Saccharomyces cerevisiae S288C: one gene and its partners. The gene in region 1 interacts genetically with each later gene. Each region holds a gene or a part of one and is shown in the gene's direction. Other genes may lie near its edges.

Region 1 (6,468 bases):
TAAATAAATAAGTGAATAAATAATGGTACGAATAACACAGTAAAAAGGGCACCCGTTTTTAGTGTATGGAAAAAGTTGAGTGCTTTACCCTTTTTCCATGATGACCGTTGAAACATGTACGGACTATCAAGTAATAGTGAGGGTAAAGACAGTATATACACACTTCCTTTTATTTTCGTCTCATCTTGTATTTTCATTTGAAGGACGGAATATTTACTTTTCATGGCTTGTATTTTTACTCGATTCCAACTTTTTTTCAAGCTTATCAAATTCCTTTAATGCTATTTCTTGCTCAGGATCCATGATCTGAATCACTTCTTTCACTTCATCCACATAGTGCTTCAACATGGACTCAATACCGTACTTCAAAGTCACTTCACTAGAAGAGCATGAGGTACATGCACCTTGTAATCTTAAATAAACGGTTCCAGTCTTTGGATCCCACCCACGGTAATCGATATCACCGCCGTCCTCCAAGATGGCTGGTCTTATTCTTGTATCTATCAGCTCTTCAATCAATTCGCTGACCTCTTCATCTTCTTCGGTAAGTTCAAATTTGGGCATATTTATTTTGTAGCCACCTTCTCCTTCTTCTTCTTGGACAGCATGGAATTCTTTGGATATAACATCTTCACCGTAAGCAAGTTGCTTGGTTAACAAATCTATAATTTCAGGCTTGATACTATTCCAATGGACCATTCTGTCTTTATTAATAGTGAGAAAATCATCACCTATCATTAAAGACTCCACTCCTGGACACTGCAAAAAAATTTGCTGTGCTAACTTGGAATGGTTGATGAGGTTTTCATCAGTGTTCTTAATAACTATACTCTTGGAGCCACGCGTCTGTAGCATCTCGCCATCTGTGGAGAGAAATTTTAAAGCATTTTCATTTGGAGTTGTTAAAGTCTTAATATGAATTAATCTCTGAGAATTTAAGTAAAAAATCGGAGACTTCCCCAATTTAGCCACTGATTTGAACATTGTTAGTCAATTTCTTGCTTTTTTGCTTAGATTACGCTGAGAATGCCTTATGTATTCTAATTAGTCCGCTAAATACGCTTCTTTTTATAATGATTAATAAGCAATATTGTAAGTAGATCACTGAAATTCGGAAAACTTAAATTATTTATCACTTGATACGTTAGAAGGCTATTTCTACAATCACCAGGACTCCGCTAAGTGGTCCTATAGATTTGATGAAATGCCTGCTTTGACGGTCTTGATGATACAAGCTAACGCTTAGCATGTTACTATACTCAATGTACATTGTTTTATCCTCAAGAGACCGCAGACGTTTCAATTTTGTGTTTAAAAGAACAATGGACAGTATATACGTAGTGCCAATTTTCTTCTATGGTGTATTATGCGCATTGAACATTGTAATATCCGTAATGTTGAACATAATTTGGGAATTGCTTCCGAATCTTCAACCTTCATGTATACCTCTTTTCGGCTAGAGTGTGGTACTTTAATTACTGCTTAGTTGTTTTGCCCGATTTAGATATTGCACCCGTGCACGTCACACATAAGCTTGGTCTTTTAAATAGTGTGTGAAAAAACGAACTTGAAGAAAAAGATAGAGCAAGATATATATAGGAGTAGGAATAGGGAGAGTGGAAAAAAAAACTTAGCCTCAAACTAATAGTCAAGAGGATCAACTATTCTGTTCAGGTTTTGCAGGTTAAAAATTGAAATAGAATATTTTCTCGGTAATTTCAAGAAACAGCTGGTAAAAAGGCAGTAAATTTACAGAAACTAAGAGTGTAAGGGCACAATGAGAGTATATCAGTTTTGCCGACCTTTCCAATTATTCACCTGCTTCTTATGCTACCTTCTAGTGTTCGTAAAAGCTAACAAGGAAAAGATAAGTCAAAAGAATTATCAAGTATGCGCAGGTATGTATTCCAAAGAAGATTGGAAGGGCAAAATAGACCCGTTTATATCATTCAATCTTAAAAAAATAAGTGGATTGAGTGATGAGTCTGATCCAGGCTTAGTCGTTGCAATCTATGATTTCCAAGACTTTGAGCACTTAGGTGTGCAATTGCCGGATGAAGAAATGTATTATATTTGTGATGATTATGCAATTGATATCGGGATTTGTGAAGAGGAGAATCGTGATGAGTTTATTGTTCAAGATGTTGTATATGATCCATATACTTCCACAAATAGATCTTTGGCCAATCCAATCATGACGTTTTCTCAAAATGAGGTCGGCCTTCATGATACTAGATACCCAATAAAAGAAACCGGATTTTATTGTGTTACTGCGTTCAGATCATCGACGTCTACCAAGTTCAACGCTGTGGTGAATTTCAGGAATGCTTATGGTCAGCTTGCGGGCACCGAGATCAACAAATTGCCACTATATGGTCTTTTGGCGGTCGCATACGTTGTGGCGATGGCGTTATATTCCTTCGCCTTCTGGAAGCACAAGCATGAATTGTTACCATTACAAAAGTATTTGCTGGCCTTTTTTGTATTTTTAACCGCAGAAACCATATTTGTATGGGCTTACTATGATTTGAAAAATGAAAAAGGTGATACTGCGGGAATAAAAGTTTATATGGTGTTCTTGTCGATATTGACGGCTGGTAAAGTTACATTTTCATTTTTCCTATTATTGATTATCGCTTTGGGCTACGGTATCGTGTACCCTAAGTTGAATAAAACGTTGATGAGGCGTTGCCAAATGTATGGTGCGTTAACTTATGCAATTTGCATTGGATTTTTGATCCAAAGTTATTTGACCGACATGGAGGCACCATCTCCACTAATCTTGATCACCTTGATTCCTATGGCGCTTGCATTAATCATATTTTACTACATGATTATTAGATCCATGACAAAAACAGTTATCTATTTGAAAGAGCAAAGGCAGATCGTAAAATTGAACATGTACAAGAAGCTACTATACATCATTTATGCGTCCTTTTTGAGTGTACTAGCTGGTAGTATAGTTTCGTCATTTATTTACGTTGGCATGAACACTATTGATATGATTGAGAAGAACTGGAGGTCAAGGTTCTTCGTTACTGATTTCTGGCCTACGTTAGTGTATTTCATTGTTTTCGTTACCATCGCGTTCTTATGGAGACCAACAGATACTTCATACATGCTAGCCGCATCCCAACAACTACCCACAGACCCAGAAAATGTCGCGGACTTTGACTTGGGCGATTTGCAATCGTTTGACGATCAAGATGACGCAAGTATCATCACTGGTGAGCGTGGCATAGACGAGGATGACCTCAATTTGAATTTTACTGATGATGAAGAAGGACACGATAATGTAAATAACCATAGCCAAGGCCACGGGCCAGTGTCTCCCTCTCCAACAAAATAACGCTACCTCCAGCAGATTTGATTAGGTGATGAGACAAATAGTTTCTTCGAGGGCAGTCACGAAATGTTTACAAGCGAAAAGAAAGAAATTATGAACCATATGCACTTCTGTTCAATGCGATGTGAATATGAATATGAATATAAATATGAATATAAATAAATAAATAAATAAATGCGTTGCACGTTTCTTTTCATTTATTTGTGCGTGCTTTTACCTGTTTATAACTGTAGTCACCAAAGCTATGCTATACTCTAGACCTAACTTTTTCGTTTTGTATTTATTTAGCCGCTCGCTGGAGTTTTTTTTTTTTCGGTGATAAGATGATTTATATCAAACCGAAACAAGCGAAAAGTTTCTGTTCATCGACTATAAAATGGAAGAGAAAATTGGTCCATAGACTTTTCATGTGTACTTGTTTATGAGAAGAGACGCAGGAAGACCAGAAGTGAGGAATTCCCTTTGTTCAAGGATGAACAACGAAGCCAGATAACGTAAGGTTGCGCGCTGCATCAGTGCTAACCTTATTAGCTTTCTCTGGCTTTTTCGGTCTTTCCTATGTAACATAACATGTATATTCTATTTGTTTATGATGAGACCACGTCCTTAGTGACAATGCTATAAACCCAGCTCTTCGATTCGTTTTTAATGAAAGGGAGAAGATTTTTTTGTCAAACGCTCTGAGTAATAGAATATACATGCGACAACATTTGTAGTTACTTGTCTTACGCTTCCTAGGGAACGGATCATCCGAGTAGAATATCATTTTACGGGATCACTTTATTCGGTGTGATTGCTCGTTAAGCCGCACGACCATTTTATGGGCACGCTTCCGCAAGTTGGTTCTTTCATCAGAAGCTTTACCACGATTGGCAAGTCATGTAGCATGTGCGCTAACATCGTTTATCGTTTTCTGTGACGTGGCTTATGAGCACCAGAGACGAATAATCAACAGTACATCAAACAAAAGCTACGTCACCTCACCAATAATCCGAGCTTCTTGAAATGGCAGGTATTGGATTCATAAAATATGTCGCTGCTTTGTGCATTTTCCTTTAGTTTTTTCCTTTTTTTTCATGTAGCTAACTAAGCAAGACGATTATGGGAAGGGACCTTTTAAGGAAAAACAGGAAAAAAAAATAGTAGCAACTAGTAAAAATTCAAAAAATAAAAAAAGTCAAAATAAGAACACATCAGTTAGGAACCGTGCTTGGAGTTTTGAGACTGGAGTATTGTCCATCCAACATATTCTGCTCTTTCACCATAGACTTCGTTGGAAATCGCCTCTCCCTTGTACTATATTGTGCAGAACCGTTCCCGCAATTTTCATTGGTGCAATAATAACACGCTTCTTCGATTCTCACATTTGTCAAGAAGCTGTACTCTTCTCTCAAACTCCAATATATTTCAAATTATGAACGAGCTGAACACTGTTTCGACTAACTCCAGTGACTCCACCAAGAACGGTGGTACATCCAATAGTCCCGACGATATGGACTCCGCAGCAGCAGCAAGTCACGCAATAAAGAAAAGAACAAAGGCCTCCCGGGCCTGCGATCAGTGTCGTAAAAAGAAGATTAAATGTGACTACAAAGATGAAAAGGGGGTCTGCTCAAACTGCCAAAGGAATGGAGACCGTTGTAGTTTTGATAGGGTTCCTTTGAAAAGGGGACCCTCGAAAGGCTATACGAGGAGCACCAGCCATCCAAGGACTAACGAAATACAAGACCACAATAACTCAAGGTCGTATAATACGTTTGATAATAGTAACAATACCCTGAATAATAATACGGGCAATAGCGGCGACAACGGTATAAACAGTAACACAGTTCCAAGTACCCCTTCGAGATCTAATTCAGTTTTATTGCCCCCACTGACACAGTACATTCCCCAGGCTGGTGGCATTCCTCCTAGTTTCCAAAATCCAGCGATACAATCAACTATGCCCGCGGGTAATATTGGCCAACAGCAGTTTTGGAAAGTGCCCTACCATGAGTTTCAACACCAAAGAAAAGGATCTATCGATTCTTTGCAAAGTGATATATCGGTAAGAACATTAAATCCCAACGAGCAGTTGTCTTATAACACCGTTCAACAGTCTCCCATAACGAATAAACATACTAATGATTCTGGAAATGCAAACGGAAGTGTCACCGGCTCAGGCAGTGCCTCTGGTAGTGGTGGTTATTGGTCCTTTATAAGAACTTCTGGTTTACTAGCTCCTACTGATGATCATAATGGGGAACAGACAAGAAGATCAAGTTCCATACCTTCTTTGCTACGAAATACTTCAAATTCTCTTTTACTAGGTGGCCAGCCTCAGCTTCCCCCACCTCAGCAACAATCGCAGCCACAAGCACACCAACAAAAGTTGCAACAAGGACAGAACCTATACTCGTATTCTCAATTTTCCCAGCAGCAACCGTACAACCCATCGATATCATCTTTTGGCCAGTTCGCTGCTAATGGTTTTCATTCTAGACAAGGATCAGTCGCCAGCGAGGCTATGTCTCCCAGTGCACCTGCCATGTTTACTAGCACATCTACAAACCCCGTAAATGTTGCACAGCAAACACAAAGACCTCAAGGACAGCAGGTACCGCAATTTTCATCTGAGTTGGATGGAAATAAAAGGCGACAATCAGCCCCCGTATCAGTAACATTATCCACGGACAGGCTGAATGGTAATGAGAATAATAATGGTGAAATTAACAACAATAATGGCAGCAATAATAGCGGTTCTTCTAAGGATACATCTCAACATTCCCAAGAATCTGTAACTACACCAGCGGCTTTGGAAGCATCCAGCCCTGGATCAACGCCACAGAGAAGTACAAAAAAACGCAGAAAAAGTTACGTATCTAAGAAGACAAAACCAAAGAGAGATTCATCTATATCTATAACATCGAAAGATTCTGCTCACCCAATGACCACTTCATCAACTATCGCGTATGGACAGATATCCGATGTAGATCTAATAGACACCTACTATGAGTTCATACATGTAGGATTTCCGATCATACCTTTAAACAAAACGACCTTGACCAGTGACTTATTGTTAGTTAACACACAGCCAATTTCCAATATACACGAAGTCAATTCATATGTTATTTTGTGGTTTA
Region 2 (6,621 bases), on another chromosome or scaffold:
AATCTATGATAAAGTACAATAATTTACAGACTGCCAGGTTCCCCAGATAATTCCCATTATCTTTGTTAATATTCTCGTCAACTAAGCGTAGTAGTATGTGAAGCTCATCATCATTTCCTTCAGAAGAGTCACGATTTAAGGCGTATGTTTTCAGGAAGGTATTTAAAAGTTCAAAGTAAGAAGAATAAGCGCTGTCCTTCACTTTAAAGCTCTCTCTTGAACACTGATTGGCAGACTTTTTAACCATTTCATATAGGCTCAGAAGGTCATTAAAATTTAGCTCGATTGTATCGAACCTACATTCATAAGTCTTCTGGTAAATTTCAGCAAAGAACTTGAATTTATCAAGCGAAAATTTTTCCATTACCGACTTAAATAAATTATTCACATTGATGGATTTCCATGTAGATATTGTAAAATTTGGGTAAGACAACAAAGCGGTTGCATTTTCATAGGTATAACCGTTCGAAGGTTCGCCTGAAAGTAGCTGAGTTAGAAAAGTAACTGCCTTTGAAGTGTAAACGGGTATATCTTGCTTCGACTTCGCAACTTCAATTAAAAAATCGGGAGTAATATCAATATCCTTGAAATCGAAGATGATAGATGCTAAGAGGTCAAAAATAGTATCCTTTCCGATGTTTGTCGTCAAGTTTTCTTTCGCTTGCAAATCGTCAAAGTGAGAAACGGCAAGATCCCTATAATCTTCAAAAAGAGGCTCAACATATTTGTATGTCCCTCCCTTTAACTTAATGTGTGAAACTAATGTAAACAATAATTCAGATGCGGAGACAGATGGATCAATGTACAGTAAGAACTTCAAGTAAATTGTTTGGATTGTAGTTTCGAGAACCTCTTCTTCGGCTGCAAAATCGTACAATTTCCTGATCAGACTCAAATGGTCAGAGTTGATTGTTTTCTGTTTGTTATTCTGGAAGAAAACTAAGATACCGTAGGACAAGTATATCCTAGAAGGGTCAAAAGAGGTCCCTTTTTCCACCAATAATTTCAAAATTTCAAATAATATATCTGATATGCCTTCTGTTGTTTGGGAAAGTAAGTTATTGACAAATAATGAAAGTTTTTCACCATGGGGACAACTGACACCTTTTACATCAAAATAATGAGCGGACATTGCAGCTGGAAGAAGAGTTTTTGTCAATAATGGCAAGTTTGAAGAGAATGCTGACATATTTGTAATCGAGAACATTAACGTCATCATGTATTTTCTGACACTCTCCATTGATGATTTCAATCCCGTAGAAAGCAAGATAAGGCCCCAACTATGGTGTAAATGCTCGTTATCAAAAATTTTTATTATATCTTGTTTGGCCGCTTGTATTTGATTCAATGATGTGTCCAGAGCAATCATTTCATATAAGGTGGTGAATTTCTTCCAGCTACCCAGCATCTCGATATTTGCTAGATCATTGCATTTATAAAATGTTGTTTGCAATGTTATACCATGAGATGACAGTTTTTGAATTGTTAATTTAAGAATTGAGAGTGCCAATTTTCTGTGTTCGTGCACATCATTATCCAGCTCTGTTTGAATGTGCCTCCAATAAGCATCGGTCTTTATATAAGTAATAAGTTCAGGAGACAACTCTGCTGCTAAAAGGAATCTTAGGAGAAAAGATAAACTGTTCTTTTGCTTCCAAGCTTGTTGGGAGCCTTCAGCGTACAATTGTTTGATAAATGTCCAAATGAGCTTATCAAAGTTACTATCGGTATTGCAGCATTTCGATAAATATTTGATATGCCATCTCATTAACTTGGAGCAGGAATCAGCAATCTCTTCCGAATTACAGCCTAACAATGGAACAATGATAAAATCTAGGCATTTGGACGATATACCATTCTTACATTCGTCAAATAAATATACAACTTCTAAGTAGTGAAGCAGGCTAAGGATATCTAAGTGCAGATTTTCATGCTTGATATTAGCGTTTTGTTCCTCAGCAAAAGAATCGAAAAATGGTTGTACAATCTTTTTTCCAAAGTTGTCATTGAAGAGATGTTTATAGTTTTCGCTAATGATGTCATTTAACCGGTAGCTCATCCACACCTGAAATTTATGCCATACACTGGGTAAACAACATAGTAATTGTGCAGAAGTTCTTAGCGCCTTGTTCATTTCAGCCCTCGAAGAGCGAAACATTTCCCTGGCTTCACCGTCTATACTAGCATACGCAATGACCTGCTCAGTAATTTTTTCAAAGATTGGTGTTTCAATGTTGCTGTCCGTCGTTATATCCAGTGGCGAAGTTTCAATCAACTCCAGCACCTCTTCTAAGCTGTCATTCTGAATCAAGTCTGATATAAGCTTTAGTTGCTCTTCGCGTGGTAAATATTTGCAGATGAGAGCACCTCCAACCATTTTGCTGGTAAAAAAAAGGTATAGAGTTTGTAACGTTCGTTAAACAATTCTTTTCACCGGATTTTAATAAGGCTTGGCTTATTTGCTTACTAGCAATTATATAGTTACAATAGTGCTGTTTCAATCTTGCTCATCGCCATGGTGAAACTTTTCGAAAAACACTTGAATTTTCATTCACGTGATCTACATTCCCTTACCCGACAACTCACCCATTGTGCCCCCTTTAAGATATGGCTATTGAGTAAGCCAATATTTATCGATTTACAGCAAGTCATCTCCAAAATGAAGAGATGACTAGCTCGAATACTGGTGGTGCAATTGAACATACCATCTAGAAAAGTTGTCTTCTACAGCACACAATGTCAGACTTAAATGATGTCCAAGAAAATGCTAAATTGAATTCGGAAACTCGGAATACAGGAAAGGCTGAACCACCTCATGGGACAACTGAGTATGTGGCAGAGGCAGAAATTTCTAAGAATGGAGTTGGATCGCCAAAAAAGAGCCCAAAAAAGGGTAAGGTTGGAAAGGGGGACAATAACAAAGTAGAAACTGAGTTAGTACACACAGCCCTGTTAGAAAAAGACAACCCATTCATGGAGGAGGGGCCAACAGGATTCACAAAATCAGCTTTATTAGAAATACCCGGTATGAGAAGCCATAACCTAAAGAACCCGAATGAAGATTACGAGGATGACTCTGAGGGATTATTGCCTTTAAACCAAGAATCGAATGCAGAAACATGTAGAACAAGTCTTAGTGGAAGTATTAACTCCATGAACGGAGAGACCTCTGCGTCAGAAGAACCTTCTGTAAGTAATAGAAAGAAGTCCGCTAGGATACACATACTTGAAGCGAAAAGAGTTTCCGAAGGTCAAGGAAGAGCCTACATCGCCTATGTTATTCAGTTTGAAAATTCTACCGTTCAGAGACGTTACAGCGATTTCGAGAGTTTGAGAAGTATCTTGATAAGATTGTTTCCTATGACGTTGATACCGCCGATTCCAGAAAAGCAGTCAATAAAGAATTATGGTAAGTCAATAACTGGTTCGAGTTCAAAGTATTTGCTGCCCTCAGAAGGTTCTGGTTCAGTAGATCTATCATTGTCTGTGATACATGCGTCGGTCAATAATAGTGATGAAAAGTTAATACGGCATAGGATAAGAATGCTCACTGAGTTCTTGAACAAACTTTTGACGAACGAAGAAATCACAAAAACATCTATAATTACCGATTTTTTGGATCCTAATAACCATAATTGGCATGAATTTGTTAACAGTTCGTCCACTTTTTCATCTTTACCGAAGAGCATCCTCCAGTGTAATCCACTAGATCCCACTAACACCACTAGAATTCATGCCATGTTACCAATACCGGGCTCCTCGTCACAGTTATTGTTGAATAAGGAGTCCAACGACAAAAAAATGGATAAGGAAAGAAGTAAGTCGTTTACTAATATTGAACAGGATTACAAGCAATATGAGAACTTGTTAGATAACGGGATTTATAAGTATAATAGACGAACCACGAAGACTTATCACGATTTGAAATCGGATTACAATGAAATCGGTGAGGTATTTGCACAGTTTGCCCATGAACAGGCTCAAGTTGGGGAATTGGCCGAACAGCTTTCTTACTTAAGCAATGCCTTTTCGGGGTCCTCGATTTCTTTAGAAAAATTAGTTGGAAGACTATACTACAATATAAATGAGCCTTTAAATGAATCTGTTCATATGGCAACTTCTGCAAGAGAATTGATCAAATACAGAAAATTGAAATACCTGCAAAATGAAATGATTAAAAAGTCTCTGAATTCCAAAAGAGCACAGTTGGAGAAGCTGGAAGCGCAAAACAATGAATATAAGGATGTTGACAAAATAATTGACAACGAAATGTCTAAAAGTCATACTATTAATCTGGAACGCCCTAATAATAATACAGGTAGCGGTGGGAAATCATATGGTGGCAAACTATTCAATGGATTTAACAAATTGGCATCAATGGTAAAAGATTCTGTGAAGTATCAAGAAACAGATCCGCATACCGCAAGTATCAATTTGAAGAAAGAAATTGAACAACTGTCTGAATCATTGGAAGTTACTGAGAATGATTTGGAGGTCATTTCAAAAGTCATCAAAAATGACCAGCTACCTAAATTTTCTAAAGAAAGGGAAGTAGATTTATCAGAAATTTTAAAGCATTATTCCAGATATATGAGAAATTATGCCCGTCAAAATTTAGAAATTTGGAAAGAAGTCAAAAGACATCAAGATTTTGCATAGTATTATGAGCATTTTTTTTTAGCGTTATAGCATACTTGATATATATATATATAAACAACGTGAAGATCAAATAACGTCAAATGTATTAAATAGACTAAAATATTATGCACTTCTCTTCGGATTTATTGCTCGCGGGCTGGTTGACGTTACATGGTCCATTCCACTGAAATGTTTTAAGAGATGCCTATATGGCCAACTCAAAGTTTTGAAAAAGGGAACTAGGTTCACATAATATGGGGCATTTAGTGTTTGCAGATGATTATGCTCCATCGCAGAGATTATCGCTAGTGCCAGTTGGGAAGGTATGATGTCAGGAGCCAATAACTTAGATGGTGTAGGGACATCAATAAACATATTAGTTTTGATTTTTCCCGGGCACACCAGTAGTGTTTTTATTCCAGTTTTATTACATTCCGTGGACAAACTTCTGAAATGCCTGCTCATACACTTGTGAAAACCAATCATTGCTCCTTTTGATGCACCATACGATGTCAGCCTTGCAGGAGTCAGTTCTCCGAGGACTGAAGCAATGTTAATTATAAAGCCTTCCCTATTGTCTATCATATCTTCTGCAAATGTACTGATGATTCGGTAAGCACCTATTAAGTTTATGTCGATCAATTGTTCTACCTCCTTGTTTGTCATATGTTCTAACTTTTTGATGTGAGCAACACCAGCATTATTTATAATTATATTAATGTTGCCATGATCTCTTTCAATAGCTTTTTTCAAATTTTTAATTTCATCTAGACTTGTTATGTCGCATTGATAGTAGAAAATGTTATTATATTCTACCTGAGCAAAAGTAGGAAATGATTGAATATCTGCCACAATAACTTTATTAATTCTTCTGGAAAGTTCCTTTGCAAGTTCAAATCCGAGTCCACTAGAACCACCGGTTATTAGTGCAGTTGCATTTTTAGAAAGGATGGAAGGGTTGTAGCTGGGCAGACTTAGGATGACTGATGGAAAATCCTTGAGGTGTTTTGTAGTTCCACTCGCTCTATTTATTTTATTCTTGCGTACCATAATTAATAATATTTCTTACCCATAAAACTATGTTAAATATGTCACTGAATCTCTATTGAGGTGTCCTTTTGATGATGCGGTTTCAGATATGAGAAATGTTCATTCAAGAAGTGTCACAAATTCTGTTCCTCTGCTGACGCCCGCTACATATTGACGTTCAAAAATATAGAAGAAAAAGGCAGTAAAGCGTTAACATAAGAAAACTAAAGAGCAAGTCTGATTTGGCACTACCACGCTTCCAACAGAAGTAATTGTTGCTTCAAATAAGTTCGCAGCATGTGGATTCAAGTCCACAGATGCGATATTTAGGAGCCCAATCAGATAATATTGATTCCGGGTTATCTCTTGTTTGTGTCGGCACAGGGGATTTAAATTGTGTAATGCTCAAGACAAGTTATTGATGAGAACAAGAGATGGTATATAAAACTGCTCTCTGAGGTATAGCTTTTGTTGAGGTAGGCATACAAGATTTCGGGAATGAGCACTATTAGTACCACAACGGCACCTGAGTTTATCAGAGTAAAGAGAAGAAGGGATGAGGATTCTGTGCAGGCATTATGTATGTGTTGTTATTCTACCGATATAACAAAAATGCGTTTGACTAACTAAGTTCATCTGGGACAATTCAGTAATTGATGAGGGGAAAAGAGTGAAGAAGCAGAAGTTCATATTTAAATTATCAAAGACTGTGAGCTCTGAAAGCTATCAATCCGAGCAAGAGTCTTCTACGCCACTCTTAAAACTGGCTCATGAAGATCATCGACATTTTGTATTGGAACAAAGAAAAAAAAGTCGTAGAGACTCAGATGATGAAAAATCACAACAGCGGCTTGCAGCAGAAGGAAGTACTGTAGATGACGATGGGTTACCGCCAGAGATCAATCAAATGGTGAATGACTATTTAAAGTTGAATAAAGGTGTAGAAAAGACAGA
Region 3 (5,959 bases), on another chromosome or scaffold:
AATAGCTCTCTTTTACCCTTATTTTCAACCGTCAGCCCCTCTTATTGGTTGGAACGCCTCAATATCAGAGGTCAAAGTCAAGATATCTTGTTATCATCGGTGTTAGTGCCCAAATTGCCAATTGAACGCCTCTATCAAACTGAGGAACAAACCAGCGCTCGCAAAGGAAAACGCGTTTTCTTTTGGCTGCTTTTCTTTCGAAGTGCAGGAACGAGCAGTATTTGGTTGCCATTGTGCGGCACACCCAAGCACACAACGATGCGCTAGGCCAATTGATTCATTACCGTTGGTGTTTCAGGTATTCGTGCTCATCAACGTGACTATTCAGCAACTGAATTAAACTGCTCTTAATAACTTATGTGCACCGTAAGCCAGTCAGTGCTAATGAAGGAATCAATCAGGAGTCGTACAGTGCGTAGGCACACTTTTTTTCCGCAGCTGTTTACTAAGGGTTGTGTAACGTCTGGGTGTGGAGGGGCAATTACCGTAAAGATGCTCTCGAAATTACAATACTACGGTACTTTTCCCCACGGAAAGTTGTATCTCGGAGTTAAAAAGGGAGTGGCACGAGATTCATACAATGGCGTGCAGGCAAAATGATTACTACCGAAATCGAAGCAAGATGATGTTCAACCTTAGGACATCGAAGCTGTACCTCTGCATGAAGTAAGCAGAACAAGGCAAAGTTTAGTTTTTCAATGCTCGCTTCTGCTGGCACTGTTAGTTTGCAGCACATGAGTAGCAGTGGCGCGATTATATCCCCGTTGGGCCATCAAAGCGCAGCTTTTTGTGGTATCAGATAAAATAGTGGTACGCTAAGGCTCTGCGTGAGGAGTTAAGCAATATGCCAAGTATTACTTTGTAGACTTAATTTTAAAATGCTCTTAATTTTAATTTCTATTTTTCTATTTTCTATTTTCTATTTTCTATTTTACTTTTTTTCTTTTTCTGGCTTTTTTTAGTAGTGATATATAATTAGTTTTTCATCTGAAAGATATTTAGGGCACCATTTTCTTTTGTTCTTAGATGCAGATATTCTTTGGCGATTTACCCTGGTGGTACAGAAGATTATGTTACATAATTCATCAATTTTTTTTATGTTAGTTCATCTTCAAAATCTGCTTTAACTGGTTATTATTAAAATATAGTAAATCTAGATCTCTCAATCTGAGTGCTTACCGACTAAAAGCGCAGAAACTGTATTCTTATTATTTTTTTTTTTTCACGGCAGCTAATTGTACTGAGTTATATTAATAGTACTGGAATAACACCAGGTAACGACTAAGGAACCAAATAAAGTATGGACTATAAGCATAATTTTGCTACAAGTCCAGATTCTTTCCTAGATGGAAGGCAGAACCCACTCTTATATACAGATTTTCTATCTTCAAACAAGGAGCTTATATACAAACAACCATCGGGTCCTGGTCTTGTGGATTCTGCCTACAATTTTCATCACCAAAACAGTTTGCATGACCGTAGCGTGCAAGAAAACCTGGGTCCAATGTTTCAACCCTTTGGCGTCGACATCAGCCATCTTCCCATTACCAACCCTCCCATTTTTCAAAGTTCTTTACCAGCGTTTGATCAGCCCGTGTACAAAAGACGCATATCTATCTCCAATGGTCAGATTAGTCAATTAGGCGAAGACTTAGAAACGGTTGAAAATCTTTACAACTGTCAGCCTCCGATCCTATCGTCTAAGGCGCAACAGAATCCCAATCCTCAACAGGTGGCAAATCCAAGCGCAGCCATATACCCAAGCTTTAGCTCGAACGAATTGCAAAACGTGCCACAACCACACGAACAAGCTACAGTCATACCCGAAGCTGCACCTCAAACAGGTAGCAAGAATATCTACGCTGCAATGACCCCGTATGATAGCAATATAAAGCTTAACATACCCGCAGTAGCAGCCACTTGTGACATTCCTTCTGCCACGCCTTCTATCCCATCTGGCGATTCCACAATGAATCAGGCTTACATCAACATGCAACTCCGATTACAAGCTCAAATGCAAACTAAGGCATGGAAAAACGCTCAATTGAATGTGCATCCATGTACTCCAGCCTCTAATTCTTCCGTTTCCTCTTCTTCTTCCTGCCAAAACATTAATGATCATAATATCGAAAATCAATCCGTCCATTCTTCAATTTCCCATGGCGTTAATCACCACACTGTTAATAATTCCTGCCAAAATGCCGAGTTGAATATTTCAAGCAGCCTTCCATACGAATCGAAATGCCCTGATGTCAATTTAACACATGCCAACTCAAAACCACAATACAAGGATGCCACTTCTGCACTGAAAAACAATATTAATAGTGAGAAAGACGTACATACCGCGCCCTTCTCCTCTATGCACACTACAGCAACCTTCCAAATAAAGCAGGAAGCTAGACCCCAAAAAATAGAGAACAATACTGCAGGCTTGAAAGACGGTGCTAAAGCTTGGAAGCGTGCAAGGCTACTAGAACGAAACAGAATTGCCGCTTCCAAGTGTCGACAGAGAAAGAAAATGTCACAATTACAACTTCAAAGGGAATTTGACCAAATAAGCAAAGAAAACACAATGATGAAGAAAAAAATTGAAAATTACGAAAAATTGGTTCAAAAAATGAAGAAAATTTCGAGGTTGCACATGCAAGAATGCACAATTAATGGTGGTAATAATAGTTATCAAAGCCTTCAAAACAAGGATAGTGATGTTAACGGGTTTCTGAAAATGATTGAAGAAATGATACGCAGCTCCAGTCTATATGATGAATAAAAGTATTGCGCATACTTCTTATGGGAGATCCAAATTCCCAGTACATTAGTTTGACTCTCCTTCCTTAATGTTTTCCTCTGTACGATTATTTATGTTTAAACGATTTATTTTACTATGTATGTATTTCCTTTCATTTTCTTTCGGAGTCATATATATTGCTGGGCGGCTAAATGTTTCCGACTTGTAAAAGAAAACATAACAAACATCTTGTAGTTGTGAAACAGTTTCATTAAATAATCTTTTAGAAGAGTAAGGACATGAGTAGAGGCAAACTGGAAGATATGGAACAAAAGGAAACATCGGAAGTTGACTGGATAATCGTACGTGAAATTGTCACATCCTTAACCTATTTTCTCTTTACTAACTTTTAGTAAGAGGTGTAATCTCCTCGAATATTATCTATGACAGTGTTTTGCTTTAATTCAATCCAGGAATCCTACGTTGTGGAAGAGGGCACTTTCAAGAAAGAAAGGAGATGTCGAAGATGTAGGTGCTCTCAAGAGTGAAAAAAATTTAAAAATAAATCCTCGGGAAAACTCAAAACATATATACAAATGGGTTGCGCCTTTCGAAAATGGATTTTTGAATAATAAATCACTGTTTGCTCATCTGGAACCTATATACAATTTCCTTTGCCAGAATAAGTACAAAAGCTTCGAAGATGCAGTTGGTTTAAAGGAGCTGCAATCATTTAGCAAAGATGTATCAACTGCTGATATAAACAACTGGTTTTTACCGAGATATAAAATTCTGCTAAAAATCCTGAGCTTAAAAACAAAAGAAATTGACTTTAGAGGGTTATCGCAAGTGTTTCAAACACTCCAAATCTTGTTAGTTTCTCATTATTCGCATCGCATAGATTCTGATTCTTCTTTTAAGAGGACACTGATAGACGTTCATGTTTTCAATTTCATCGCCAAGTTTCTGTTTAATAGAATTTTATTGAAGAAGAACCAAAACGATCCAAAATGGCTTCAAAACTTTTACGACCAGGGAGATGGCAAACATTTATGTGATAAAGTTGACTACAAGCGCTTGTGTTCGTTGCATTTTACCCTTATTTACTCTATTATTAACATTCAACTCATCAAAATCAAGACAAACCAAACATTTGAACCGCAGATATTAAAATACGTATCTGTTCTGAAATTAATTGAACACATACTTATCATCATCGAAAGTCTGATACATGTACTTATTAGATTTGTATCGAAGCATAAACTAATATGCATCAACCGGAAAAAGGCGTACTGTCGAGTATACCTCGAAAGAGAATTGAGTTTGAAGAAAACCTACTTAAAGAACTTTTACAGTGTAATAAGCGGTGTCCCAGAAAAAGAGTTAGGGGGTCTATTGAAAATACTCAAGATAGTTATTCTATCATTGCTCGAGACATTTGAAAGCATTGAATGGCAGCACTTAAAACCTTTCCTGGAAAAATTTCCGGCTCATGAAATATCGCTTCAGAAGAAAAGGAAATATATACAGGCGGCCTTATTAATTACTGCCGAAAGAAATTTGATAGCGCGCTTTCGATTGTCAAGATGGTTCAATGAGACAGAAAACATTTAATTTTTCTTTTGCAGTAGGAGGCGCATTATAAAACACAAAAATATCGAAAGCTCTTTCATTTCGGGGACAACAACTTCAGTTGAAAATTACAGTGAACACAACATCTTCCCCAACAGACCTACATTAAAACGCTTCTTCCGGACTTGCCCATGATTAACCTAATCTTATACGAACTGAATTAAACTTTACGGTATTACCGATAGGAAACTTCTATTTTATGATTTTTTCGTTCGGGGACGGAACGAACAGGAAACAAAAAAAAAGGTACGATCCATTGTATTCTCTACCCCCGTATATAAAACTAAGCTGAACAAGCCTGTTGTTTTGCTTTACTATTGCTACTATTTTTGACGTAAACGCATTGACTAATTTCAGGTTTTTATATTCTTGACACTAGCTAGACCATAGTATCGAAGGATTCAAATACACTAAAGTATCAGATAATGTTCAGCCTACAAGACGTAATAACTACAACCAAGACCACCTTGGCAGCAATGCCAAAAGGTTACTTACCAAAATGGTTACTTTTCATTTCCATTGTATCAGTCTTCAATTCTATCCAGACTTACGTTTCTGGTTTAGAATTGACACGTAAAGTCTACGAAAGAAAACCCACTGAAACAACCCATTTGAGTGCAAGAACTTTCGGTACTTGGACCTTTATTTCCTGTGTTATCAGATTCTATGGGGCTATGTACTTGAATGAACCACACATTTTCGAATTGGTCTTCATGTCTTATATGGTTGCCCTATTCCACTTCGGCTCTGAATTATTGATCTTTAGAACTTGTAAGTTGGGAAAGGGATTCATGGGTCCATTGGTTGTCTCAACCACCTCTTTGGTTTGGATGTACAAACAAAGAGAATACTACACTGGTGTTGCTTGGTAATTCTGATGTAAGGGCAAGCATATCCTGTAAAAAAAATTATATAGAGATGATTTATTTATATAATGCCTATAGCAACCTTTATCCAAACCTTCCGTACATTATTTAACAGCAATTGTTTATCATTCATGATTATTTCTCAAAAAGCTGCCAATTTGGCTTCATTTCTGTAAGTATCCCTACCTCTCTCCTCTAACGCAGATATTTCTGTGCACGTGATCTCGTTGGCTTTTTTTTCGGCCGAAATTTTCACAGGCTAAGGCCGAAAAAGAAAGAAAATTTTCAGAGGAAAAAGAAAATTAAACGACCTCGAAGCCGTATTTTAGATTTTCCAATCTCTTATTTAGTAACGTGGTTTATTAACTCCATGATTCCATTCCTATTTGTTTTTCTTTCTTTCTGAAAATCCTCTTCTCCTCGAAATAACCCAACTGACAAAAAGAACAATTCCCAATGTCTGCTCCAGCTCAAAACTACAAAATCGCTGATATCTCTTTGGCTGCCTTCGGTAGAAAGGAAATCGAATTGGCTGAACATGAAATGCCAGGTTTGATGGCCATCAGAAAGGCTTACGGTGACGTCCAACCTTTGAAAGGCGCCCGTATTGCTGGTTGTTTGCACATGACCATTCAAACTGCTGTTTTAATTGAAACTTTAGTTGCTTTGGGTGCCGAAGTTACCTGGTCCTCTTGTAACATCTATTCGACTCAAGATCATGCCGCCGCTGCTA
Region 4 (5,601 bases), on another chromosome or scaffold:
TGGTCCAAAAATTTCTTCCTTAACAATTCTCATGTCTTCATTAACATCGTAGAAAACGGTTGGTCTGATGAAGTAACCCTTGTCACCAACTTTTTCGCCACCAGTTAAGATCTTGGCGCCTTCTTTCTTACCGATATCGATGTAGTTCATAATTGTGTCGAATTGTTGACGGTTAGTGATAGCACCTTGGAAGTTAGCCTTGTCAAATGGATTACCAACTTTGATTTCGGTTTCCAAGTAAGCCTTGAAAGCAGCCAATAGTTCGTCGTAAATACCTTCTTGAACGTAAATTCTAGAACCAGAGGAACAAATTTGACCAGCGTTCTTGAAAATACCGTTTACTAGATTTGGTAAAGTCTTCTTAATGTTAGCATCGTCAAAGACCAAATGGGCGGACTTACCACCTAGTTCCAAAGTGATTTTCTTCAAGTTAGATTCAGAAGAGTCGACAGCAACACTCTTACCGACTTCTGTAGAACCGGTAAAAGCCAGCTTTCTGATTCTTGGGTCGTTGGTCAAAGCAGCACCAACAGTTCTACCAGGACCTGGAACGATGTTGACGACACCAGCTGGAATACCAACCTTCTTACATAAAGAAGCAAAGTATAGGGCATTTAAAGGTGTGACAGCAGCGGGTTTCAAGATACAGACGTTACCCATGGCCAATGCTGGGGCGATCTTCCAAGCCAACATCATTATTGGAAAGTTCCATGGAATAATTTGACCACAGACACCGATTGGCTCTAAGGTGGTGAAGTTCATGTAGCCGTCACCGGTGTTGATTGTTCTACCGTTGACTTTGTCGGCATAGGCAGCAGCATCTCTTAGACAGTTGATTGCAATGGTAACATCCCCACGGGCTAAGGCCAAAGTTTTACCATTGTCCAAAGCTTCAATGGAAGAAACCAAGTCAATTTGGCTTTCCAATTCGTCAGCCAACTTACTTAGTAGACGGCCTCTTTCTCTTGGGTCTTGGGTAGCCCATTCAGTGTCGTGGAAAGCACGGTCGGCACATTCGATAGCATATTCAACATCTTCAGTGGTGGCAGAAGAGACCTCACAAACGGTGTTTTCAGTGGAAGGATCTTCGACGGGATAGGTCTTACCGTCTTGAGCTTTCATAAACTTGTTGTTAATGAATAGACCGGTTGGTTGCTCGTATGTCAAACCATTTGGAAGTGTGATCTTGACTGGTTCAGCAGTGTCAAAGTGTAGCTTAGTCATTGTATTCTGATAGTATGTGTTTGTGTATGTTAAAGATGTTTCTTGATGTTTTTTCTTCTATAAAACAAGAGAAGTAAAAGACTGAACACTTCGAATTGAATATTACCAAACTTCTTATTACATTTATATATGATATCAAGAACTTGTTAAACACGCCAGGCTTGACCTCGAACGGTGTTTTGATGTGTTACTCAACCGTTAAATCGCTGTTTGAGCTGACTAACAAGGTTGCTTGTCTTGAATCCCCCTCACCCCGAATTTATTACGAATTTGCCCACATGGTCGGTGCTATATCGCATTCGTTGCACTCACCGTTCCCAAGAGGAGATCAATGTTACATACGTTCCCGATGCCCAAAACGGTAAAGTTAAAGCGATATAGAAGCTGGATGCATATCTTTTTACACGTCCGCGGCGCGCCCACCCTCTTTTTTCTTTCTGGTTCCTTTTCGGTCGTTTTTCTTTTGTCGGCTGCCTTATTCCCGTGGGGATGAGGCGAGCGCCGTTTCGGCTTGGATACGCCATATGCAACAATGACGTCTCGGTGCTGGCCATGCCCCTCATTTATGTCGAAAAACAGGCCACTGCCCCTCTTTTCTGCGGCCCGGGCAAGAGGAGACCTCATCAGCCACGGCGACGTGCTGGTTGCTTCTACAATGGTATCTTCACCTTTTACATAATCCAATTCTATCATGCCCTTACGTGAGGGGCAGTGTCGTATGTGACGGCAGTTCCTGACCTGATAGTGTGTCTATTTGTCTGTTAGCGTCCGCGGAAAGTTGTGAGTACGGTTTTTAGTTTAGTTTCCACCCGGGATTATACTTTTGGCTACCCTGACTGGAAGGCGGCGGCCTTATATTCGAATGAACATGCCAGGCATTGTACGAATTGAAACTTTTTTCGTATGACGTTACGAATAATTCCATTCGGCCTAAATATTCTTTTTTTTTGGATTTTTATGCTAGTGAAGGAATATGAGATATGCAAAGCGCATCAGATCATTAGGTGTGTCTACATCGTTAAAATTTAACATAGAAAAAATAAATAGGCGTGTTTGTACGTAGTATGGTGATGTTAGGAGGTGCAGTGGTAGTAAGTTAGCAATATACATAAGTTTTATTCACATGACAGTAACAAAATGAGGGTGTGGGGAGTGTACAGGTACATTTACATACACACATAGATACGTAGATACATGAGAAGAGGGTTTACATGAAAATTATTTGGATTCAGCAATCTTCTTCTTTTTCTTTTCCTCTTCAAATAAGGCGTCTACCTCCTTCTGCTTCTCCAATTGTATTTTCATTTGTTCTTCTGGCGAAGGCAAGTTACCTTCAACATAGTCTTTCAGCGTAAATGTTTGCCCGCCCATTTGCTCCTGCTGTATTCTAATTTTTTCCTTTTCTTCCTCAATCATCTTCATGAACATTAAATAGTTCTTTTGTCCTTCTTCATGAATCAAATCGAGCGGGAACTTGGTGCTGCCGCCCAGGGAATTTCCGAGACCTAGTGCCGTCATTGCCCAGTTGCCACCAGATTTATGATCTCCGTAAAATTTATCCTTCAATTTTTTCACACGATGATCAAATTCTTCTGCTAGGTTCTTCTTGTCTTCAAAGCTGTTCAAGATTGGTCTAACATCCTTGGTTTGTTGAGTGGCAAGGTACTCCAAAAATGGAATCAATCTTACTAATTTGTCATCAGCTTCACCATTCCATGGCTCCATTGGAATAGCATTTTCAGGTTGCAATTTGTAACTGTTAGGGTCAGTGTCAATAATGATTACTTTACTCAAATCTCTATTCAATTTTGACAGATCCTTAATGTGCACACCGTCTTTGTAAACACAGTGTTCCTTGAACAAATTATAAGATACGAATGCATGGATTGGATCTAATTTTTCAGCGATTTTGTCAGAGTACATCATATAGTTGGATGAAAACAAAACAATTTCGTAATACTGCGATAGGTAACCCAAGAAGTAGTCAGCACCAGGTCTTTTGGCCGTTCTCCAACCATGCTTTTGAGACCACTCAGAATGAACCAAAAAATCTTCCAATGTGATAACAAGAGTTAATGGCCTTTGGTACGGTGGTGGTGGTGGTGGAGGTAGTAAATCAGGGAAAGGTGGCTCTTGGAAGTAGGTGAACATTGAGTTGAACCTGGCCTTGAATCTTTTATACATAAGTGATAAAGTGTAGCCATTATCGATGTCTTTCTTCAATTCTTCAGACTCTTGAGGCTCCCAATCCCTTGCCATGTAGATTGCAGTACCTGTCAACGCAGACAACGAAAAAATGTAAAACCAGTTAGCATACTTTTCTCTTTTAATATCTGTAGAAGTTTGTCTTTTTCTTCTAGATTTTTCACTTTTGGAAGAAGGTTCATTCTTGTCCTCTCCTCCTTCTCCTGATGTTTCCTCGTTTTTGCCTTGGCCCTTCTCATCGACGTCAACACCGGCCTTGAACAGCATATCATCTGTAAGAATGGATTTAGGCTTGTCGTCTTTTGTTTCTTTTTGTAAAAAACTTGAATAACTTGTTAAAAGTCTTCTGGATGCTTGAACCGATGTTAAGGTGTTGGCGGCAGATGGCACAACCCTAAGAGCCCTTGAATTTAGTCTCACCGAATTTCTTAAAATGGACAGCATTGCAAGCGGGTGATTTTTGGAAGTTTATTCTAGCTGTGATGTGCTAAAGCAAAAAATCAGTTATGCGCCAAAAGCTAATCACGAAATTGAGTGGATGCTAGAAATTACCGTTCCGATTAATCCTGACGTTATGTTCGTTTGCTGAATATATCTCACTTTACTGAAAGAACTTCCAATTTTTTTTTTTTCCTTTTCCGCTGTAAAGCGTCTGAAGAGAAAAAAAGGTTCAAAATGTCCTGAGAATAATTTATTGAATAATTTATTATTCAAAGCGTATTACAGGAAACATGTATGATGAGTTTTAAACCAAAGTAAGAATGCTATGTCCAGTAATATAGAACCTCAGACAACAGCTAAATGTATACTGTATACAACAAAGGGGAACATTGCCATTGAATTATGGGCTAAAGAATGCCCTGAGACATGTAAGAGGTTCTTATCTATGCTCTCAGATGGCACATTCACCAATGGAGAATTTAAAGAGTTAAAGCCAACACAGTGGCTAATGTTTAATGCAAATAGTACTGGTGAGTACCGTACAGTTGCTGAGGAAAAAAATCCTCGTATACGCTTCAATAGAGATGGACTCTTGGGATGGGATAGACGAAGGAACACATGGTTTATAACTGTGCTGGCGGATTCTAAGCACGTACTGAACGATTGTAATGTATTTGGCAAAATTGTTGGGAAATCTATTTACATCTTTAGAGAGATCTTGGGCGGCGAAATTGAAGCTTCCTCCCGTGACAATGATGTCAAACGATTCATGTATCCTGCAGTTTTGAAGGATGTTGAGATTACCATACCATTCTTTGAGGACATCTTTGGATCAAAAAGAAGACTGGAAGATAATGAAAAAAAAGAACAAGAGCCGGCAAAGAAACTTGTGAAATCAGCAAAAGTAAAGATGGTTTATGAAGATGAGCAAGAGGATGATGATGGTGATGTTCAAAAGCTTAAGCCAAGAAAGAGAATGATTCTCCCAGCATGGATCAAAGATGATAGTCGCAGTGAAGGAATTAAACTAGACGCATCCTTAGATCAGCCACAAGAGGCACTAATTAGGGAAAAGACGGAGTTGCATGATAATGTTGATGAGGCAACCACTAAAGAAACGGAAAGTCAAGAAAACATCAAGGAAGAACCAATGGATAAAAGAGAGCGGGAAACTTTGGCAATGTTGTCAAAATTTCAAGAACGAATAAAAAACAAGAATATTCTAAAGTGAAATAGAAACGCTTGTGTACTTATATATGTTATCATAATTTCTATTTGTTTATTTCTTAATCCAGTAAAGCATAAAAACTTTTATAGGCTAGTTCTAGATCAAACAGAAGTTCTCTAATTTGTGTTTCAGTTAAAGTGTCACCAATTGAGAGTTTATTTATTCTGACAATCCAGTCAATGAGTTTTGATCTATTCTCAAAATCATCCCTGGTGACGCGATTTATGCTGATTAACAGTTCAGCCAATAAGGGATGTAATTGATCTTTTGCATTATAGTTTAGTTTCAAAGCATCCATTACAGTGATGAAATTACCAGTGGCCTCAGCGACGTATTTAGCATTAAACTTTTTGTCGCTAGAAGAACTTTGTTTATTATCACCAGAGGGAGCCGATGTGGTAGTGGATATCGCATGTTCTGCTGTAATTGGTATGCCCCTCTCCAGTCTTGTTATTGCGTTCGAAGCAGTGATGTTGTATGTATCGCAGAACGCTTCTATGGAT

The links.
Region 2: mutations in PTM1 (region 1) and ATG20 together harm fitness more than expected from each alone (negative genetic interaction), as found in Saccharomyces cerevisiae (2 studies listed by BioGRID).
Region 3: mutations in PTM1 (region 1) and MEI4 together harm fitness more than expected from each alone (negative genetic interaction), as found in Saccharomyces cerevisiae (2 studies listed by BioGRID).
Region 4: mutations in PTM1 (region 1) and CWC27 together harm fitness more than expected from each alone (negative genetic interaction), as found in Saccharomyces cerevisiae (2 studies listed by BioGRID).

Annotation. Positions count from the first base shown.
Region 1 is NC_001143.9:360,845-367,312, forward strand, and holds PTM1 (Ptm1p), read left to right. Parts: upstream 1-1,777; coding exon 1,778-3,349; downstream 3,350-6,468. Other genes in the region: NFU1 (Nfu1p), read right to left, coding at 214-984; RGT1 (Rgt1p), read left to right, coding at 4,761-6,468.
Region 2 is NC_001136.10:254,671-261,291, reverse strand, and holds ATG20 (Atg20p), read left to right. Parts: upstream 1-2,736; coding exon 2,737-4,659; downstream 4,660-6,621. Other genes in the region: TRM3 (tRNA (guanosine(18)-2'-O)-methyltransferase), read right to left, coding at 1-2,377; YDL114W (short-chain dehydrogenase/reductase), read right to left, coding at 4,762-5,688; IWR1 (Iwr1p), read left to right, coding at 6,166-6,247, 6,318-6,621. UniProt on the Saccharomyces cerevisiae protein: Required for cytoplasm to vacuole transport (Cvt), pexophagy and mitophagy. Also involved in endoplasmic reticulum-specific autophagic process and is essential for the survival of cells subjected to severe ER stress.
Region 3 is NC_001137.3:236,843-242,801, reverse strand, and holds MEI4 (Mei4p), read left to right. Parts: upstream 1-3,027; coding exon 3,028-3,090; intron 3,091-3,178; coding exon 3,179-4,342; downstream 4,343-5,959. Other genes in the region: ACA1 (Aca1p), read left to right, coding at 1,301-2,770; ERG28 (Erg28p), read left to right, coding at 4,786-5,232; SAH1 (adenosylhomocysteinase), read left to right, coding at 5,683-5,959. UniProt on the Saccharomyces cerevisiae protein: Required for meiotic induction of recombination, viable spore production and chromosome synapsis. Component of the MER2-MEI4-REC114 complex which seems to be required for meiotic double-strand break (DSB) formation.
Region 4 is NC_001148.4:428,211-433,811, reverse strand, and holds CWC27 (putative peptidylprolyl isomerase CWC27), read left to right. Parts: upstream 1-4,195; coding exon 4,196-5,101; downstream 5,102-5,601. Other genes in the region: aldehyde dehydrogenase (NADP(+)) ALD6, read right to left, coding at 1-1,224; YPL062W (uncharacterized protein), read right to left, coding at 1,513-1,917; protein translocase subunit TIM50, read right to left, coding at 2,443-3,873; ESCRT-I subunit protein VPS28, read right to left, coding at 5,157-5,601. UniProt on the Saccharomyces cerevisiae protein: PPIases accelerate the folding of proteins. Catalyzes the cis-trans isomerization of proline imidic peptide bonds in oligopeptides. Involved in pre-mRNA splicing.